Linked DNA regions of Arabidopsis thaliana. The protein of the gene in region 3 interacts with the protein of the main gene of each other region in a pairwise test. Each region holds a gene or a part of one and is shown on either strand. Other genes may lie near its edges.

What was found.
Region 1: the proteins of AT2G41820 (region 3) and AT3G06170 interact in a protein complementation assay, tested with the Arabidopsis thaliana proteins (one large-scale study listed by BioGRID).
Region 2: the proteins of AT2G41820 (region 3) and ARFA1D interact in a protein complementation assay, tested with the Arabidopsis thaliana proteins (one large-scale study listed by BioGRID).

Annotation. Positions count from the first base shown.
Region 1 is NC_003074.8:1,864,428-1,871,252, reverse strand, and holds AT3G06170 (Serinc-domain containing serine and sphingolipid biosynthesis protein), read right to left. Parts: upstream 3,839-6,825; 5' UTR 3,734-3,838; coding exon 3,556-3,733; intron 3,109-3,555; coding exon 2,872-3,108; intron 2,573-2,871; coding exon 2,461-2,572; intron 2,338-2,460; coding exon 1,925-2,337; intron 1,805-1,924; coding exon 1,515-1,804; 3' UTR 1,290-1,514; downstream 1-1,289. Other genes in the region: AT3G06160 (AP2/B3-like transcriptional factor family protein), read right to left, coding at 4,061-4,321, 4,421-4,515, 4,594-5,116, 5,506-5,588, 5,679-5,749, 5,822-5,882.
Region 2 is NC_003070.9:26,561,885-26,567,957, forward strand, and holds ARFA1D (Ras-related small GTP-binding family protein), read right to left. Parts: upstream 3,928-6,073; 5' UTR 3,802-3,927; exon of another isoform or gene 3,278-3,801; 5' UTR 3,269-3,277; coding exon 3,121-3,268; intron 3,027-3,120; coding exon 2,956-3,026; intron 2,876-2,955; coding exon 2,756-2,875; intron 2,669-2,755; coding exon 2,550-2,668; intron 2,473-2,549; coding exon 2,391-2,472; intron 2,284-2,390; coding exon 2,278-2,283; 3' UTR 1,834-2,277; downstream 1-1,833. Other genes in the region: AT1G70480 (OBP32pep, putative (DUF220)), read left to right, coding at 366-536, 635-793, 883-1,005, 1,083-1,226, 1,305-1,724; AT1G70500 (Pectin lyase-like superfamily protein), read right to left, coding at 4,695-5,012, 5,096-5,212, 5,295-5,403, 5,480-5,561, 5,660-5,867, 5,959-5,979, 6,070-6,073. UniProt on the Arabidopsis thaliana protein: GTP-binding protein involved in protein trafficking; may modulate vesicle budding and uncoating within the Golgi apparatus.
Region 3 is NC_003071.7:17,443,901-17,451,203, forward strand, and holds AT2G41820 (Leucine-rich repeat protein kinase family protein), read left to right. Parts: upstream 1-2,843; 5' UTR 2,844-3,269; coding exon 3,270-5,613; intron 5,614-5,685; coding exon 5,686-6,014; 3' UTR 6,015-6,208; downstream 6,209-7,303. Other genes in the region: AT2G41830 (Uncharacterized protein), read right to left, coding at 6,531-6,695, 6,797-7,036, 7,135-7,245. UniProt on the Arabidopsis thaliana protein: Leucine-rich repeat receptor-like protein kinase that may play a role in vascular tissues development.

The DNA.
Region 1 (6,825 bases), on a different chromosome or scaffold from region 3:
TTTCTTTCTATAGTATTTTTATAAAATTAAAATCTAGAGTACATTATGAAAGAGTAAATACATAATACTAAGAATTCTGTCAAATACAAATGACCAAAATAATTAAGTACTTCTATAGCATGATTGAGTTATCATAAATCTGTTCTGGTCAGAAGCTGAACTAAAAAATAAAACGGTAGAAAAATGTCTAGAGTTAGTAGCTAAAGTCTACCAAAGACCAAAGAAGATCGTTTTCATTAAAGTTATAAATTATGTCCTATGTTAGAGGCTTAGAGGTAAACGATGTTGTTGTTTTAATCTGAAATATAGATGCTAATCAGCATTCCACATGGTTAACAACATTACATAGAAGAGTTCGTCCATCTTCTCACTTGAAATTATGGAGAATACAATAAGTCAATAACTATATACACACGGACGAAAATTAACTATAATGGATTTCAATTAATTTTCAGATTTGCTATTGGTGTACTTTAATGCCGATAGTTTCTACTTATATTCATCTAAGTTTTCAGCAAATCATACGTATGTCATATGTCTTTGGTTTCACTAGCCGTTTAATAAGTCATGTCATGTCTTTATTGATTGGCTTGCTTTCAAATTTTCAAGACTGACAAATGAGGTTTCTTTTACAGTCCAAAAAACAAACAAAGAGGTTATAAGCTTTATAAAGTTGGTCTATATCACATGATGATTGATACGCTCTTCTTATGTGGTAATGCGAAGATGGTCAAATATGTGTAATTGTTCTACGTTTTTTTTATCCATACGAAATAGTTGTTTAAAGATATTTAAATGGTTTGTTATCAGTATTTTCTTAAACAATGTAAATTTGTGTCCGTATCATAGTGGGGACTGGGGACAACAACATTTTACATACTAATCATTGTCATATGATTGTACAATTTGTCGATAGAGAGATATAGGAAAATTTAAGAGTACATTAGAATTGGAACCTTTTGTGTGTATAAAGCATTGGTCATAAGTAAAAGGATATGAATAATTGCTATAAGCCATACAATTAAAGAATTAAGAAAAAAAACATGGTTTGTCGGATTAACATAAAAGATTTTGTCCTTGAGGATTATTCCAAGGAGAAGGCCCAAGGAAGAATCAACAATAGTATAACTAAAACTAATTCTAATAGCAATGATAACAAAAGGGAAAAGGCTGCTTAATGTCTAGTGGTTTTAGTTATTTTAATGATTGATTAGATCAAATTTAAACTATGATTGGATTCTTACTGAAATTTTCCTGTTGACTCTAATGATTCTTTGACTTCAAGTTGAGCATTTCTACCATAGTCCAAATTTAGTGGCCTACTATTTATCATAAAACAACACAATCATTCAAACAGCATCCAAGGTCTTTTAGTTGAGGTTTCTTCAATTACAAGTCTAGAACGCGACACAAACTACTACCATAATTATAACAAGACCATACCCACTATAAGTGACTACATAAACATATACATAACATTCAACGGACCGGACTATATACATGTTACCCTCTGTTTAGTAGAACTCGCGATCTGGAAGGATGAGTGGTGCAATGAGTGTCCATATGTAGAGTCCGGCCGTGACCCAACCCGTGCATATCTTGACCCAGACCGAGGTCCATCCCACATCGATCAGAGTCGCACTCTCTGATGAGTCAGTCCATCCCGAGAGAAGCATTGCAGCGTACATGCTCGCAAGCGCAAAGATGATATGGAAGAAGGAGTATGAGTAACTCACAGGCCGTGCCTCGGCTTCACCACTCTTCTTCCCGTCCTCAGGGTCCCCTAACAATGCATCCTTCACACCTGAAAAAAAACGTTTCCAGTAAAAAAGAAGAAACAGAAATCCGAGTCTGGTTCAGAATTATTATTCACAAAACCGAAAAAACCAATGCCCAGGCGTGTTGAAGAGGTTGGCTCAGGTACCTGATCTGGGTGAAGACGGTGGCGAGAGGAATGTGGTGGAAGAGCCAGCTCGGAGGGCGGAGTATAGAACCGAGAGAACCGTAGTGAGCATTCCAAGGATGAGAGTACTTGCGTTCACTGCCTTGGATTTGTTAAGGCCATTGCACACATAGTCATGTGGTTCGCTAGAGAGGCCCGTGTAACAGACATAAGCACAGTAAACCGATATAACTGATGCCGGTAAAAGACTGCCATTCACCGCAGGATGTAAAGCAATAATCGCAAAAACAAAAGCCAAGATCATCGGCATGACAATGAAGAAAACATTAAGTCCACAATCCTGACCAGATGGGTTGAACCAGATGAACAGGATTCCTGAGAAGGTATATGTAGCAATGTAACACACGATTGATATGACAAGCAGAGCGATGTACCTGCACAAAGAATCCCATTAGTCAGAAAATTATAATTTATCAAACTTCAACAAAAAAAAAAGGCCCAAAACAGAATATTGGAACAAACACAGGACAAATGTATAGAAGAGATGCTGATGATACCATTTCTTTTCGTCCTTTTCGACCCATGAATCATTCCAGTTATGTGTAGCATCTAATAATAAGACCACTTGAACCAACAGAAACGCTCCAGCACCAAATTTTGACAACGTTCCTAGAACAATGTGCAAGCACTAAGATTAGCCCGCATATATGGTTTAATATTAAAATCCACAACTTTAAAGTCTCAGTCTTTTAGCAGATATTCAAATTTCCTTGTCATACTTGCAGCTACACCAAAGTATAATATATAATCACACAAATTGCCAACCAGCCCGATTTAAGATCATCAACTAATACTTGATAAAATAACAGCAATGGAATTTTGCAAACCAGTGAATTTCCAATAACATAAACATAACGTGATATGGTAGCACTTTATGTTGGAAACTATGAGGAGCAAAAAAAACTTACCATATAACGAGACGATAACATTTGGAACAAAAAACATGAGGACAACAAGCAAAAACCAGACAATCATCTTCAAACCCCACCCACCATGGTGCCACGAGTCACGCCTGTCATTCTGGTCCTTGACACCAATCATGATCAAAGCATATATTGCAAAGAAGAGGAAATTCCCAAAGCTCACACGAAGAACAGCTTGTTGCTGATACCATTCTTTGGTATATGAATCAGAAGTATTGATCCCTGTTTGTCAAACAACATCCAAAACCGGAGATTTGTATCAATAGGCGATGAAGTTTCCTTTTGCAACACTCAAAATTCTCTCTTAGATCAAGCAGGTTAACACAAAGCATAAACAAACGCAATTGAAAGTTGAAAAACATCCAAATCAACACAGATTGAGATTTCTAAAGTTCTAGTACACAATTATCAATCTGTTGCAGCTACAAAGCAACCAAATTTCCACTGAACCAATACAAATTAAGATTCATACTTAAACGCTTAGTAAGATTCAAGCACAAGACATCACCCAAATCTATCGTTAACCACCGGATTCAATTCCAATTGACAAGATCAAAGAAAACCCAATTTCGAAATTTGATGGTCTCTTTCAATTCCAATCATCAATCTCGGCTAAAAGGAACCTCCTTTTTCACAAACCCAGTTCAGAAAAGGATGAGAGAATCGTACAAGGGAGTTTCTCGAGGAGCGGAGCACCAGTCTCACGAAGAATCCAGGAGACGACAAGAGAGGCACCGAAGAGACCACAATAAGCGATCCTCGCTGATTTCCTCGATATCCCCGATGCTACCGACGAGCATAATCCACAAGTCGCCGACGCACAGCACGAAGCTAAGCAACACGCCATTGTTTCAGAGATTTTTTTTTGTTTTGACTTTCACAATAATCTGTTCTTCTGTTGTGAAGAAGAGATATCACATTTTCGAGAAATTACGAAATCTGTACCTAACATATTAAAACGATCATTCTAACCCATTTTACATGATTGTAACTTGTAAGAGAAACAGAGTGATTAACGGGTAAGCTTAAGCCTGCTCCTCATTGTGTTTACTTCAAAGTCTACAAGAGAACTCAAAAGTCTTAAACATGTTTTGAAATTAGACATTCTAATAGTTTACTACAAAAGACTAGACTCGAAAGAGAAGAAACACAATTGCAGAACTGCATCAGAGAATCAAGTGCTTGCTGCTGCATCGCGGAAGATGTGAATCTTGATTGCATAAACCACTTTGTCCTCGTTGCGGAGAATTTCACATAGGATGGAGTCATTCTCTGTGAACTGGTTTCTCTCGCATATTTTCTGCCATTTGTTTATGCAAACCCGTTGATCTGCCCACTTGGTCGTTTTCGCGGTTAGTTTTCCATATCCGTCAATATAGTCAACATTGTCGCTGAATATCAAGCCGTAGTCTTTCACCAACTGTGCATGAACTAACTGTGCATAATGTATATAGAGCTTTAGTTAGAAAAATAATCATCAACTCGTGAAAGGATTTTTAATGAGACGAGATAATAATATCTAATGAAGTCTTACCAGCTCAAACTTTCTAAGCTTAAGACACGTCTCAAAACAGACATTGTTTGGATCATCCAAATACAGATGTGGATTCTCAATGGTCTTCCTCTTGTCTGCAAAATTCCCATTTGAGATCAAATTCTAAACAGCTTCGGTTATAAGCATCAGTTAAAAGAACAATGTTTACTTACAACTTCTCTGCCTGCTTGTTGTTGGATTCACCACCTCAACGGATTCAACAGATATAGAGGCTGAGGGTAGGTTCTCGGGAGAATACTCACTGTCGCTCTCTATCTCAGCATCACCATGAAGAGAATCGTTGCTAAGGCTTCGAAGAGAAACGTTGCTAGTGCTATGATGAGAATCGTTGCTAAGGCTATCAAGTGAAACATTGCTAGGGCTATGAAGAGAAACGTTGTCATCTTCTGTATCATCAGAGATCTCTTCAACTTGAATGACTGCTCGAGTCTCTTTGCAATCTCCACGACCATAGATACTTACTTCATAACTTTTGTGCCCATCAAACACAAAAGTTAAGAATTCTCCCTCTTTTAACTGGTTATCAGCAACGAAATTTCCCCAGCCTTGTTCAAAATACACTTGCTCTTGCTTGCTCGTCATTGCTACTTTCCAAAATCTTCCACCAGTTCCGATGAGAATCGCAGTCTTGGGCAACGGACGTGGTAAAAGATTGTAGTAAGACCTTGGTATCACCTGCTCAACACAAAGATGTAGCATAAACTAAACTGTTAAAAGTGAGCAAAATATAAGCTAAAGACTCTGTCTGCAAGCGGAGGTAAACAGACAAACAACAAGACCAAGACCTCTTGTTCAATTTTTTCAACAAAGGAGAAAACTCTTTGAGGAAATTCAGTGTTTAGTTTGACATACTCTATCATATTCAAACATAAGTAACACAAACAGAGATAATCCTGAGCTCATTAGTGAAGAAAGTTAAAACTTTTGTCAGTGTCAAGAGATTTAAACATATAGAGTTAAGAATTAAGATAATGTTGCAGATCTCATTCACATCGTTACTGTATCCAAGAAACATATCAACCCAAGCAGCTTTTTCCATGAAATATTCCAGAGAAAAATCTCACCATGGATTCGGAGCTGCAATGGGAGAGGAAGACAGTGAAGAATCTAGGAAGAACATCACCGGAAGCCATGGAAGACGTATGAACTGTGAGAGGAAGAGACAAAGAGAGCAGACGAGTTAGGGAGAAAGAAGAAAGCTACAGAAATTGGGAACAAAGAGAAGAGAGACCATTACCAAGAGGCAAGCTGATCTGGTCCAAACGGTTCTCTTTAATCTTTAGGAAGAAAATTTCCAGAGATTGAATTCTGAAAAAAGAGAAAAGTGAGAGAATACAAAGGAAGCAGAACACAGTTAATGTGTGTTTCTTACGTACGAACCTGTTTTTCTCTGTCCTTGCTCTATGCACAACCAATGAGAGAAAGCAGCATTGCTTTTTCACTTTATATTATGTTATCTTTTAATAAACTCTTTGACCAAATATCTGCAACAGATCAGGTGAGAAGAATCAGTGACAAAGATGCAGAGTTCATAATTGAGAAAGCGTTTTTCTCCTCACTGAAACAAAATCATAAAAAGCTAGATGCTAACAATACTATCAAGCCCATTAAATAGTTAATGTAGGCCCATATTCGGCCCAATAATTAAGATAGTAGGGAGTCTCATTATTGGCTGAAGAATGTAGAATGTACTCATGTAGCTCTTTTCTCTTGGGCCGAAGACTTTTGGTAGCTTTGGAGTTAAAAGTCACATGATTAAACACAGCCTCAACGGCCAACAACAACATATTCAAGATTAGAGCCATTAACGTATAAGCTCGTTTAGTGAGGAGATTCTGTAATAATTTACTCTTTTTCTTACTTTAATATTCTCTTGCGCTTTAAATTTTATCAGTTTGGTTTCTTAGAGAATTTTAAAACTGCGAAAAAGTATCATTTTTATGTATAAGCTAAATTCTATCTTGAGCAACAACAAAAAAAAAAGGAATTCTTGAATCAAAGTAAGAAGATTAATAAAATAGATGAACTATTTTTGTGAATAATGTGAATGGACACTTTGATTAAGCTAAAGTGGTATTGAAAATAGACAACTACTAATCTAAGAAGAAGAAAATTCTTATATTGTCTTATCAAAAATTGTTAGTTGTACTAAATCTCCAACGGTTTTCCATTTACTGATAATTATAACATCTGAGCTAGCTCTTTTATCTTTTTAGCCAAAAAAATCTCTGAAATTGATATTTGGATAATTACTATTTTCTTTTTAAAGTGACAATCGTCTTATTTATTGAGCCATTTTTTTGACAAAACAATTTTTTTTCTTTTCACTTCTGCAGAGAAAATAGGAGCGACGGTGGAGAGAGAGAGGACAATAACAAAACAAA
Region 2 (6,073 bases), on a different chromosome or scaffold from region 3:
GTGGCCACTCTAGAATCCGTCGCATCTCGATTCAAAGCTATTGATAATTTCGTCTTCTTCTTCCATGGAATAACGTGTTTAGGCGTGTATCACATGGTTCTTTCTTTGTGTGACACAAAACCAACATAAAGCTTCCATACGATTTAGACATTGTCGATCGCTATTGTAAGATCTGGTCTGGGTCCTCGATTTTGGTGAGGATTGTCGGGTGGAACAAAACTCTTTCTTAAAGGCTCTGCAGAAATTAATTCTCTGCTCTGGCTGGATCTGATAGTGATTTTACAGATTGTTCAGGTGCTTTATTGGGCTGTGTTTCTTCGTTAGTAAAGCTTTTTGCTTTCCTTTAGTTTAGTGAAATCTTAAAAATGTTTAACTTTGCGGCTTTACTTCAATTGCCTTATACACTGTGCAGGTCAGAAATGGGCAATCCGGGATCAGACACAGAGAGAAACAAGGGAAATGTGGTCTCAAGTGTGTTTGATCCTGCACTCTCTCGATTCGTTGGATTTTCCCAGAAACTCCAAACTCGTCTTAAGGTCATGCTCTGATTCCACACATTGCTTTTCAATACCTTGTGATGTTTTTGATCTTTAGAGGAGCTGAAAAAGGAAGCATTTTGTTCTCTTTGTCACAGTCCCAGCTGAAGAATTTGACAGATGATAAGCATGGGATTGGTTCTTCATGGAGGCAAGATAAAGGAAACTCATCGATCTCCATGCAAATTGATCTGGAGAAACAGTTAGATTGTTGGAGGGAAAACCCTTCGTGGACTGATCAGATCCCAGTCGTTAAGGTGAGCAAGAGATGAACTTTACAACATGGTTTTGTCAGAGTCTTTGAGAATCTTGTTATATGATAAATAATAACAAGATTTCTTTACAGGTGGGTATTCCAAAAGGATCGCTTTGCAATCTTAAAGCCGAGGTGAATGTTGGTTTACCTCCTGATGCAGTCTATAACATTGTAATTGACCCTGACAATAGAAGAGTCTTCAAGAATATCAAGGTACGTTTCTTATAGATTATCTTGTTCTCTCTGTTACAGTTTTAAGCTCCTGTGATTCATTGGCCTCGGAATTACAGGAGGTTATGTCGCGGAAAGTATTGGTAGATGACGGGTTAAGGCAAGTGGTGGAAGTTGAACAAGCAGCTTTGTGGAGATTTCTCTGGTGGTCAGGAACAATCTCAGTTCATGTCTTGGTGGATCAGGATCGGGCAGATCACTCTGTAAGACCTCTACGATTATAACAAAAGTCTCAAGTTTCTTGAATGGTTCGTGAAAGGGGATTTAAATGGGTGTTGCAGATGAAATTCAAGCAAGTGAAAAGTGGATTCATGAAGAGATTCGAAGGAAGCTGGCAAGTAAAGCCTTTGTTTGTGGATGAACATATGTGCGATCGTTTGAAACCGAAAACGCTGGAGGAGTATAACAGGTGCACTGGAGGTAAAGGGAGGATCGGATCTAAGGTAACGCTGGACCAGCTAATACAGCCAGCGATTGTTCCACCTCCGCCCATTTCTTGGTATCTCAGAGGAATCACGGCTAAGACGACAGAGATGCTTATCCATGACTTGTTGGCTGAGACCGCCAGGATCCGTGCAGCTGGAGTAATGGAGGATGGTCACTCGCCCGATGAGCAACGGATTGGCACACCTGGAGATATAAAAGAAAGATGGTCTGCACATAGAAGAACATCAAGGAGACGACGCAATGATTTGTGTTAAGTCACAGACTCACACAGTCCATGATTCTGGGATAATAGATATCTTGAGGATTTTTGGATCACCCAGCAATATGTGAACATAATATAATATTTGTTTTCATAAGATACACTGGCATATAAATGTGGGAATCTATTCCTTGTTGAAGAAGTTTACAACCATGACTCAATGACTCATGACCATTACAACCATGACTCAATGACCAATAGTGATATGAATTTTCAAATATACAAAATTTCTAATTCATTTATTTTGGTAAAGAAAGAAAGATATTTCTGTGATGAAAACGATGCAGACGTGAAAATAGGATACGCAAAAACAAGAAAGCAAAACAATCAATCATATTAATCCAGGCACAATACACGAAAGCTATTTAAAAGGGTTCTTCTAGTAAATTTTTAGGTACAAGACCATCTACTTGCACAATAAGAAACATTCACATACCCAAAAAAGCAAAAAGGTTCAGATAATATTTATAATCTCTCTTGCATCAAGACAGAGAGAGATCCCAACACAGCAGACAGAATCATCTCGATGCAACGCAATTTCTCCCTCATCATGCCTGTGCAAGAAGAGCAACACGAGGTAAAGATATAAGCATCGCAGAATAAAAAGAAACCAGCTCGTTAGATTTGTGTGTTTTTGAAGAAACTTATGTAGTTATGTTACCTTGCCAGCGATGTTGTTGGAGAGCCAGTCCAGACCTTCATAAAGCCCTTCACCTGAAGTGGCACATGTGCTCTGGATATACCTGTAGCGAGCAAAAACACACATCAGTATCGAACAGAAATTGTTTGACTTTTGAAACTTATAAGGATGTTTATTTACCAATGACGCTGACGGAGGGAGTGAAGGCCAAGCTTATCTGTGATTTCAGCAGCGTTCATAGCATTTGGAAGATCTTGCTTGTTGGCAAACACAAGCAACACAGCATCACGCAGCTCGTCCTGCAATAAAAGAGTTGGTAAGTAAAGGATTTTCAAACTAACAAAACTATGAAGAAGAACTCTTTCTCTATAGCACTGGATATTTACCTCATTCAGCATCCTGTGGAGTTCATCTCGAGCCTCAACAACTCTGTCTCTGTCATTGCTATCAACAACAAAGATTAGACCTTGAGTGTTCTGGAAGTAGTGTCTCCACAAGGGACGGATCTGAAAAAGAAGCCAAAAAGTCAGTTTATTTGGGTGAAAAGTTCCTTCATCAAACAATAAGCAGTACAGAGACTCCATACCTTGTCCTGACCCCCGACATCCCACACGGTGAAACTAATGTTCTTGTATTCCACAGTTTCCACATTGAAACCTGTTGATAGAATTTAGCATATCACTAATCGATCCTAGATTTTATACCATCATCACAATTTAAAAACCAGTACTAAGGTGTGAAGCTTCTTTACCAATAGTAGGGATGGTGGTGACAATCTCTCCGAGCTTGAGCTTGTACAAGATTGTGGTCTTACCAGCAGCATCAAGACCAACCATCAGAATTCGCATCTCCTTCTTGGCAAAAAGCCTGCTAAACAGCTTGGCGAAACTCAACCCCATTTTGCTTCACTGCAAACAAACACAACAAAGTCTAATATCAAAAACCTCATACACATTCTATATCACGCGATTTTCATCTCAGAAATCCTAAATTATGCATCTATAATGCCAAATTCAATTCTTATATCCTCTAAGAACCTGATCAATACCAAAATCGTCACTCACAAACATCAAATTTCAACGAGATCAGGCCGATCCAAACAGAGAATCAAACGTCCCGAGATATCATAATCTCTCTGATACAGATCTTCAACATCTCAGAAGCTATCAGATACAATCACAACGACGGAAAACGAAAGTGAATAGAAAATTCAACAGATCCACACTATCAGATCGTAATCAGAAACGTCGACATATATACACATCTTAAAAATAAAATCGCATTATCCATTCATGAGCAAGATCAACCTCAACGAAATCAATCACGACGATTCCAAAACCATCAAAATTCACAAGAAACGAGAAATGCAGAACACATACAGATCTACGCTAAATTGAGAATGTATGAGCACAGATCTTAGATCAAAGCGTACCTACGAAGAATGTTTCGGAGAGATCTGAGAGAGAGAGACCGCGAAGAAACGGAGAGAGCGAGAGAGACTCGAAGAAATTTGAAAGAGAAATGTGAGAGAAGCTTAAGAGAAACGCGATGACGCCGAAATGGGAAGTGGTGGAGAGCAATTTTATAAGGGAGAGGGGTACCGGTTTATTCGTCGTTTCTCACGCCAATTAACGAAATTGCCATTTGTAATTGACGGAATTACCCTCTTCGAATCTTCTATGACCAAGTGTGCAGGTGTTCGCGAGCTAACCAATTAAAACTTAACACGTGAGCAATACTCTTTTCTTAAGTGCTACTTCATCTCCAGTGAAAATTTCGTTATTTGTTGATGTTGTCTGACCAATAAGAAATCGTCATTTCAATCAATTTTGATAAATTTTATAATTATTAAAATAATTTTAATATATATAATATGATTACATATCTACATCTATTAATGATATTTTTAATGAAATTTTGTTTGTCTGGTTTGGTTAACTTTGGGAAACGTTAGCCACAAAATCATTTAAAAGATTTATTTTCAAAATGATAAAATTAATCAATTGAGAGACAATTCCGGTTTAGTATTAGCTTAAAAATTTAAACATTTGGGTCTGGTTTTGCTGCCAACCCTTAACGATCATAACAAAACATAGAGAGATGAGCAAATGCTACAAACTACCAAATAAGCATTCATTTTTTATACAAAAATATTAATCTTTACCTTAATTATAATCAATTTATAAACACTACAATGCTTTTCAATCTCATTGTATATGCTTCATTAACAAGCTATATATATAAGGTCAGTTGCTAAAGATGAATTACAACTAAATATAACGTGCACATTCCTCACTACAACGACCGTCAAAATATGTGATCACCTTAAAGCTCATCATGAGCATTTTCAGTTTCTTTTTCGACCATAATAGTTTCTGCCAAATACTGATCAGTTTGGTTTAAGCTCTTGTCGTCATGCGAATACAGACAATCCGCAGAAGGATGAACTACACCATAACCAAACCCTTCAGCAGAGTTACAATATGCTTCTACTTTTCCATCATTGCCTTCCAAGTTGATATTGTTGAGGACAATGTGGCTGCAAGGGACTGCGTCACTACACTTGAAGTTGATGGCTTTTGAGCTTTTCGTGGTTCCGGTTATGTTCCTGTACATTATCTCGGATATGTGAACCGCCGATGTCTGCAAAGAAATAGGAATCAAAAGATTAAGTTTCTTTCTTGAGGTTTGTTGATAAGTCAATGGTTATGTGAAAGAATTAAAACCTGGTTTTGACAAGTTGATGGTGAATCACAGTAGAATTGATCGATTATAATCGGATTCGCAACGTCCTGCATCACTACGTTCTCGAAACGTACACCCTTTACGTAACCATTACCACCCTGTTTTAAAGAGTTTCATCTTTCAATCAATCCTGAAAACTCTTTGGAAGGAAAGCAAAGATCAATAGAATTGAGATTTTACCTGCCATGTCTTGATTCTTAGACCATTAGTTGTGTTCTTTAAGAACGCAGTTTCCAACACAACTGCAGTGACGGTTCCTTTCGAATGTCCTTGTCCAAGACTTCCAATACTACAGAACAAGAAATTATTTGCAATCAATAATAATATATGTGTCTCATTTCTTTTTATGGTTAGAGATGGTTTACCTGATTCCATGTCCTGGTCCACAGTAGATCCTCTTCATCTTTATCTTGGCGCTTCCATTCACAATCGAGACACAATCATCTCCTGTTTTCAAGTTGAAGTGTCAGCTATAACATTTTGAGTTTAATATTATAATTACCATGATAGTGTTTTGAGTTAAATAGAAGTTTTTGGTGAAGAACCTGTGCTGATTTTACTGTCTTGGACTACAACATCGGTAGATGCGGTTATATGAATTCCATCAGTGTTGGGACTGTCTCCTGGAGATGTGACCATAACTCTAGAGATTCGAACTGTAGTTGACCGTTGTATGATCAAGTGCATCTGTTGGCTGTTCCGGATAGTTAAGCCTCTCACATACACATTTGAACTTGAATATATAGTTAGAGCCTGTATAAAAGTAAAGACTTTCTTATAAGCAAAATCAAACATAAATGATAAGTCTAATGGTCGATGAACACAAAAGGGAAAAAACTTAGACCGTTGGTGCGCCTACGCAAGGCTACAAAAGAAAAACAAGAAAGATATGTGTCAGATTTCTACTTCATGATTGATTAGAAGAAAGTCCACTTTATGTAAAGAAGATACTTACGTTA
Region 3 (7,303 bases):
CTCAATCAATATTACTGCCAAAAACATATTTCTATGAAATTTTCTAATCACTTTCTTTTGAAAAGCTAATAGAAAACAAATAGAAAAAAATGATGAAAATAATCAACAAAAAGTGGGGATAGCTTTCTTTCAACCTTCCACATGCCCCATTTGGTATCACTACAAGATGGACAGCCGAGTCATGTCCTTTTGACATTTCCTCTTTGTTTTTAAATTTTATATTCCTCCTTCACTAGTAGAAAAATCTTAGGAATTTTAGGGAGGCTAATTAACAACTTTACGTTTTGGTAATTGTGGAATCAACCATGATAATCTTATATTATTCGATATTAATCAAAATATGGCTTAAATAGTTAAAACTCACACATAAGTCCATAAGTTCCAATTGTATAATATTATACTTTTAATAAATTATATTATATTTATACATATGAATAAAAAGGAAGGTTTCAGGAATTCATGGTTACAAAATGAGTTTAAAAAGATGAACATTTCCCCCAAAACACTAATTAGATCGTACGGTTGGTGAGCCTAAAGAAGTAGTGCTACTAATAAATGAGAATAATAGTTTTTGGTACGACATCCCACAAATCCTTAATGATGAGAGCATAAATCTCGGCATAATCTTCGTTTCAAGAGTTCGAAAGCATATTCATGAATATTCACAAATGATTACGCAGAAAGTCAGTTTGATAGGTAAAGCATCCATAAGCTAATGACTAAGTTTTCATTGTAATCATTGGTTAACATTTTCTCTAACAATGTTAATTATTGAAAATTTAAAACAATTAACTACACTTCTTATCTCCCCTTCTTCACGAGTTTAAAGCGACGAGGTGCTTCCATCATTATGTCTTCTCTTTTTCTTGTTGCTCTTCTTATGATTCGTCTTTAACTCATTCGCCTATTTGTGAAAAAAATAGATTGCTTGAAAAGCATAAAACTAATCAACTGAAAAAATGTATATGCATAATTAAAAATCAATTCATAGAAAAATTCAGTCGTACTTTCGTCAATTCATGGATTTATTTTTTGTTGTAGCTAAAACTTCAGTTGTACTACCAAAACAAGAAGAAGTTCAACGTCTTGTTGATAGTATCATGAGTTGTGAAAACTCACGTGAAAAGAAATGTAACTATGTAATAAAGTTTTTTATAGTATTAATAGAATAAAACTTGCTTAATTGGTGGTGTTATTTATATATACTTAATTAGGCAATTAGGTTTCAAGAAGAGGAAAAAAACGATGGGACGGAGGTGGTGAGTGGTGGTGGTCGGAGCAGACAAAGAAGGGTCCTACAATTTGCCTAACCGTAAAGAGCCACATTCCTTTTTCTTTTACCCCATCCCGTGAGTGAACCCCACTCTTCCTCATTCTATTATTCTCAATCTATATTTTCAAAAATAAACATAAATATACAAACTCTTTGCAGCATAAAGGAATATGTTGATAAAACGGAGCTTTGTTTATGATTTTGTTTCATTATGATATATTTTTTTTAAAACATTTACCAACAATTTCTTAGAAACATAAATTAAGAGCTAACTAGTATATCTAGTATTTCTCGAAACCCAAACTCATGTTCTTAATTTTTTATTTTTTTCTGGAATGTTAATGACTATCGGATATTTGAGTATAATTGTATGAATTTGCTTGACTGTTGCATACTTTGAATCTTTCTTTCTAGTTTACAATTGTGCAAATTAAATCAAACTCGTTTTCAGTATTTTACCTTTTAGTACTATACTTAATTATGTCATCTGTATCAGGTAATAGTTAGAGGAAAGAGGAAAATGGTGTAATATAAACAACAATTATTTGTATGTGAGTTTACGACCATCATCTAGCTTAAAGTACACACCAATGAGAATATGAACACAGTTTAGCTCAACTCATATATGATCTATCCGACATCTTTTCAATGTTTTGGGTCGCGTAGGAGTATCGGAAGCAGCTTAAGACATAGCTATTTAATAAATTGTTGGTATGTTTTATTTATAACAATTATCACAAAATCAAAAGATACTAATCTCGCTGTTTGAGGCAGACATCTGAGAAAACATGTCTTCTACCAACATTCAAGATTTGACAAATCGTTGTTTACGTATTGTTATATTGAGCATCTTACAACAAAAATTTACGTGTATTTTGAAACTCGGAAATCAATCATATCTATTGATATTAACACACAGTGTTTCCTGACTATCGTCGCAGACGAATAATAATAGTAATAATCTTCCACCTCGTGTGATTCTATAATCTTATATTCTTGACATAAATGTCGTCAAAATTTGGTATACATCAAACATGGATCGTGTTTAAAGTAATCATCAAAAATCACCACACGAGAGTAGATTCCCTATTGTCAAATATAGATCAAAGAGAAAACATGTAGGCTACAAATATAACCTAGTCCCTACGAATAAGAAAAATGTCATTATACCACAAATGATAACTGCAAAGTGTGTGTAAATTTTGATTTTAAAAGAAGGTAAAAAAATAAAAAAGATAGATTTGGAAACAATCTTTTACCTCTTTGGTATTGAACATTGTGACAGTATCAATCAGTATGGTACAGAAAAAACGTCAGAGGAAAAGAATTATCAAAAAACGTACACTCTTCATTTTCATTAAAATCTTTTTTTTTTCTTCCAAAAAACAAAAGCAGAAAAAATGTGTCAGAAAGATTTATGCAGCTTTCATTCATTCATCACTTGCACTGTCTCGTGAAGAAAATTAAACTTTTTTGTATCAGAAATTAATTACATTAAAAGAAAAGAAAAAAAAAATTCCCTCCTTTCCAAGTGCGTTTGCTTTGTGGAGTCTCTCTCTTCTCTCTCTCTGTCTGTGTGTGAAGTGAGAGGATCTTTGTTTGGTTCTGCAATCATAATTTCGTGATATACTAAAAAAAATGCAATTTCCTCTTCTCTCTTATAAGCAGAGACCCTACTACTCTTTGATCGAATTTTCCTTGCTCTCTTCTCTTTGTTCTCTCATGTTTTTTTCTCCCTAAATTTATGGGCTTTGCTCTCTCTCTAAGCCACACTCACACTCTAAAGCACTCGTCTTTCTTCTTCTTTTTCTTCAGAAACAGTTATTTTGACTTGAAAAACCAGAGCTTTAATCCTGGATTCATGGCAAAAAGAGCATTACTTTTCTTTTCCTCTCTCACTTTCTTGTTTCATTTGGCTTAAAAATTCAATGATAATTTTGTATTTGGGGGAAAGAAGAAGAAGAACAAGAGTGTGTGATTGATTCAATTCTTAAAAATGACATTTTGGTGTATGTCAATTCTTCTGATTGTTGGGTTCTTATCAAAATCTGAGCTTTGTGAAGCTCAACTAAGCGATGAAGCCACATTGGTTGCGATTAATAGAGAGCTTGGAGTTCCAGGATGGAGTAGTAATGGCACTGACTATTGTACTTGGGTTGGGCTTAAGTGTGGTGTCAACAACTCTTTTGTTGAAATGCTTGATCTCTCAGGGCTTCAGCTTAGAGGTAATGTTACTCTAATCTCTGACCTCAGAAGCTTAAAGCATCTAGATCTTTCTGGTAACAACTTCAATGGACGAATTCCTACTTCTTTTGGCAACTTGTCTGAGCTTGAGTTTCTTGATTTGTCTCTGAATCGTTTTGTTGGAGCGATTCCGGTTGAGTTTGGTAAGCTTAGAGGGCTTAGAGCATTCAACATTTCTAATAACTTGCTTGTTGGAGAGATACCTGATGAGCTTAAGGTTCTAGAGAGGTTAGAGGAGTTTCAGGTCTCTGGAAATGGGTTAAATGGTTCTATACCTCACTGGGTAGGGAATCTGAGCAGTCTCAGGGTGTTTACAGCTTATGAGAATGATTTGGTGGGTGAGATACCGAATGGGTTAGGTTTGGTTTCTGAGTTGGAATTGTTGAATCTTCACTCAAACCAACTTGAGGGGAAGATTCCAAAAGGGATTTTTGAGAAAGGGAAGCTTAAAGTTTTGGTCTTGACACAGAATAGATTGACCGGTGAACTCCCTGAAGCAGTAGGAATCTGCAGCGGCCTCTCGAGCATTAGAATTGGGAATAACGAGCTTGTGGGAGTCATTCCGAGGACAATCGGGAACATTAGTGGACTTACTTACTTTGAAGCAGACAAGAACAATCTTTCAGGTGAGATTGTTGCAGAGTTCTCCAAGTGTTCTAATCTCACTCTGCTGAATCTGGCAGCTAATGGGTTCGCTGGAACCATTCCAACAGAGCTTGGTCAGCTCATTAATCTTCAAGAACTGATTCTCTCAGGTAATAGTCTCTTTGGGGAGATCCCTAAGTCGTTTCTTGGAAGTGGAAACCTAAACAAGCTTGATTTGAGTAACAACAGACTCAACGGAACCATCCCAAAGGAACTCTGCAGCATGCCAAGGCTACAGTATTTACTTCTTGATCAAAATTCCATAAGAGGAGACATACCTCATGAGATTGGAAACTGTGTGAAGCTACTTCAGCTCCAACTGGGTCGAAATTACTTGACGGGAACCATTCCTCCTGAGATTGGTCGCATGAGGAATTTGCAGATAGCACTCAACTTAAGTTTCAACCATCTTCATGGATCATTGCCTCCCGAGTTAGGAAAACTCGACAAGCTCGTGTCATTGGATGTCTCTAACAATTTGCTCACAGGATCCATACCGCCACTACTAAAAGGTATGATGAGTTTGATCGAGGTTAATTTCTCAAACAACCTTTTGAATGGTCCAGTGCCAGTCTTTGTTCCCTTTCAAAAGTCTCCAAATTCGAGCTTTTTGGGAAACAAAGAGCTTTGTGGAGCACCATTGAGCTCTTCTTGTGGATATTCTGAAGATCTTGACCATTTGAGATATAATCACAGAGTCTCCTACAGAATTGTGCTCGCAGTGATTGGTTCTGGTGTAGCTGTCTTTGTATCAGTCACTGTGGTTGTTCTTCTCTTCATGATGAGGGAGAAACAAGAGAAAGCAGCGGCTAAAAATGTTGATGTTGAAGAAAATGTTGAGGATGAGCAACCAGCAATTATCGCGGGAAATGTCTTCCTTGAAAATCTTAAACAAGGAATTGATCTTGATGCAGTTGTGAAAGCAACTATGAAGGAGTCAAATAAACTCAGTACGGGAACTTTCAGTTCAGTTTATAAAGCCGTTATGCCTTCGGGGATGATTGTTTCGGTGAAGAAACTCAAGTCTATGGATAGAGCCATATCTCATCATCAGAACAAGATGATCAGAGAACTCGAAAGACTCAGCAAACTTTGCCATGACCATTTGGTTAGACCGATAGGGTTTGTTATATACGAAGACGTTGCTCTCTTGTTGCATCAGCATTTACCTAATGGTAACTTAACTCAGCTGATTCATGAGTCCACCAAGAAACCAGAGTACCAACCTGACTGGCCAATGAGACTGTCCATAGCTGTTGGAGCAGCAGAAGGTTTAGCATTTCTCCACCAAGTCGCCATCATTCACCTCGACGTTTCCTCTAGCAACGTCTTGCTAGACTCTGGTTACAAAGCCGTGCTTGGGGAAATCGAAATATCGAAACTTCTAGATCCCTCTAGAGGCACCGCGAGTATTAGCTCAGTTGCAGGCTCTTTTGGCTACATTCCACCAGGTATAAAGTCTTAATTTTGTTACCAGTAACTTTATACAAAATCCAACACTTTCCCTTGGTTTATTTCTGCAGAGTATGCATACACAATGCAAGTTACAGCTCCGGGGAATGTTTACAGTTATGGAGTTGTGTTGCTTGAGATTCTAACCTCAAGAGCGCCGGTGGAGGAAGAGTTTGGTGAAGGAGTAGATTTGGTGAAATGGGTCCATGGAGCTTCAGCGAGAGGAGAAACACCGGAACAGATACTCGATGCCAAGCTTAGCACCGTGTCTTTTGCTTGGAGGAGAGAGATGCTTGCAGCTCTGAAAGTTGCATTGCTTTGCACAGACATCACACCTGCAAAAAGGCCAAAGATGAAGAAAGTAGTTGAAATGCTTCAAGAGGTTAAGCAAATCAAATGAGCAAATGAATATATAGTTTCCTCTTGTGACATTCATATACAAAAGAAAACGCATTCCTATATATGCGAGCTTCTCCTCTGTGTATTATATAGGTTTTTATGATAAAATTGATCCGCTTATGGTTGATTTACTTATCCAATGACACAAATTATAAATTAGATCATAGAAGAACCAATGTACATCTTGAGGGAAACTGTTCAACAAAGCATCTGTTGTAGAATCTTAAGATTACAATACCATGTGAAAACCAGATGGCCTCTTTCAATTTTTTACACATCACACCAAAAAGAAACAAGAATTGGACAAAAGAATAAGTGAAAAGAGAAGATAGGAGTAAAAACCTAGGAGGAATGATCTAATTATAGCACGACGGAGATAATTCCGATTTATGATGCTAAAGAATCTATAAAAACGTAACCCAAGACTTTGAAAACCAAGCAAACCTATTTTTGTTATGTTTTGTTTGAGTTCTTGACTGGAATTCAAAGCCAAACATGGTTTGGATCCTGCCGATGATCAACAGCCAGCAGCTTTAAGGAAGTTGTCGTAAGGGCTTGAGGCTGGTAGTCTAAATGCTTGTGGGTTATTTTGTAGTTCTGCATAGCACGGTGACTGAATAGTTCCCACTGGTGTTCTTGGCGATTTCATGTCGAATTCTTTCGACAGTAAAGGGACTTCGACCTAAACAAATTTCAGTAATCAATACAAAAATGGTTAAACAGTTATCTTGGAATATGAAACCGGAGGCTATCCACAGGAATTCATAGCGAAGGCATACATACCCCAGTATGAAATGCTGAATTGATCATAGGATGAAAAGATGCAATCTTGATCTCTTCATCATGTTGTCGTGGAGAGCAGTTAACAGAACTCTCATGTCGTAGCTGAGAATTTAAAAGACTCGAGATCTTCTGCTGTTTTCCCATTAACAGATTCTCACAATGCAGCGTCATCTCTTTGTATGAAGCATCGGCTGCAGTATGGAAGGAAATTCTACCCACTTGACGTGTTGTCTCTACGACCTTCAAACAATACAAAATAAGTATAGTTTATAGTGTGCTGTTACTTTTGATGAAGACTTTGTAATCTAGTTTCTAGGAAGCTGAAAAATGTAACTTACAGATTCTAGAATTTGATTGACGGTCAGGAGGTCTGGGATTTCAGAAAATGTTACATGATTGTTCTTTGTAACGGTTTCGGTGCCATCTCCAAACTCTTGATCCTCCGCGTCCTGAAGACACAGATGCAACATATTTCAATCTTATGTTCAGCTCGAGGTTTTCAGAGAA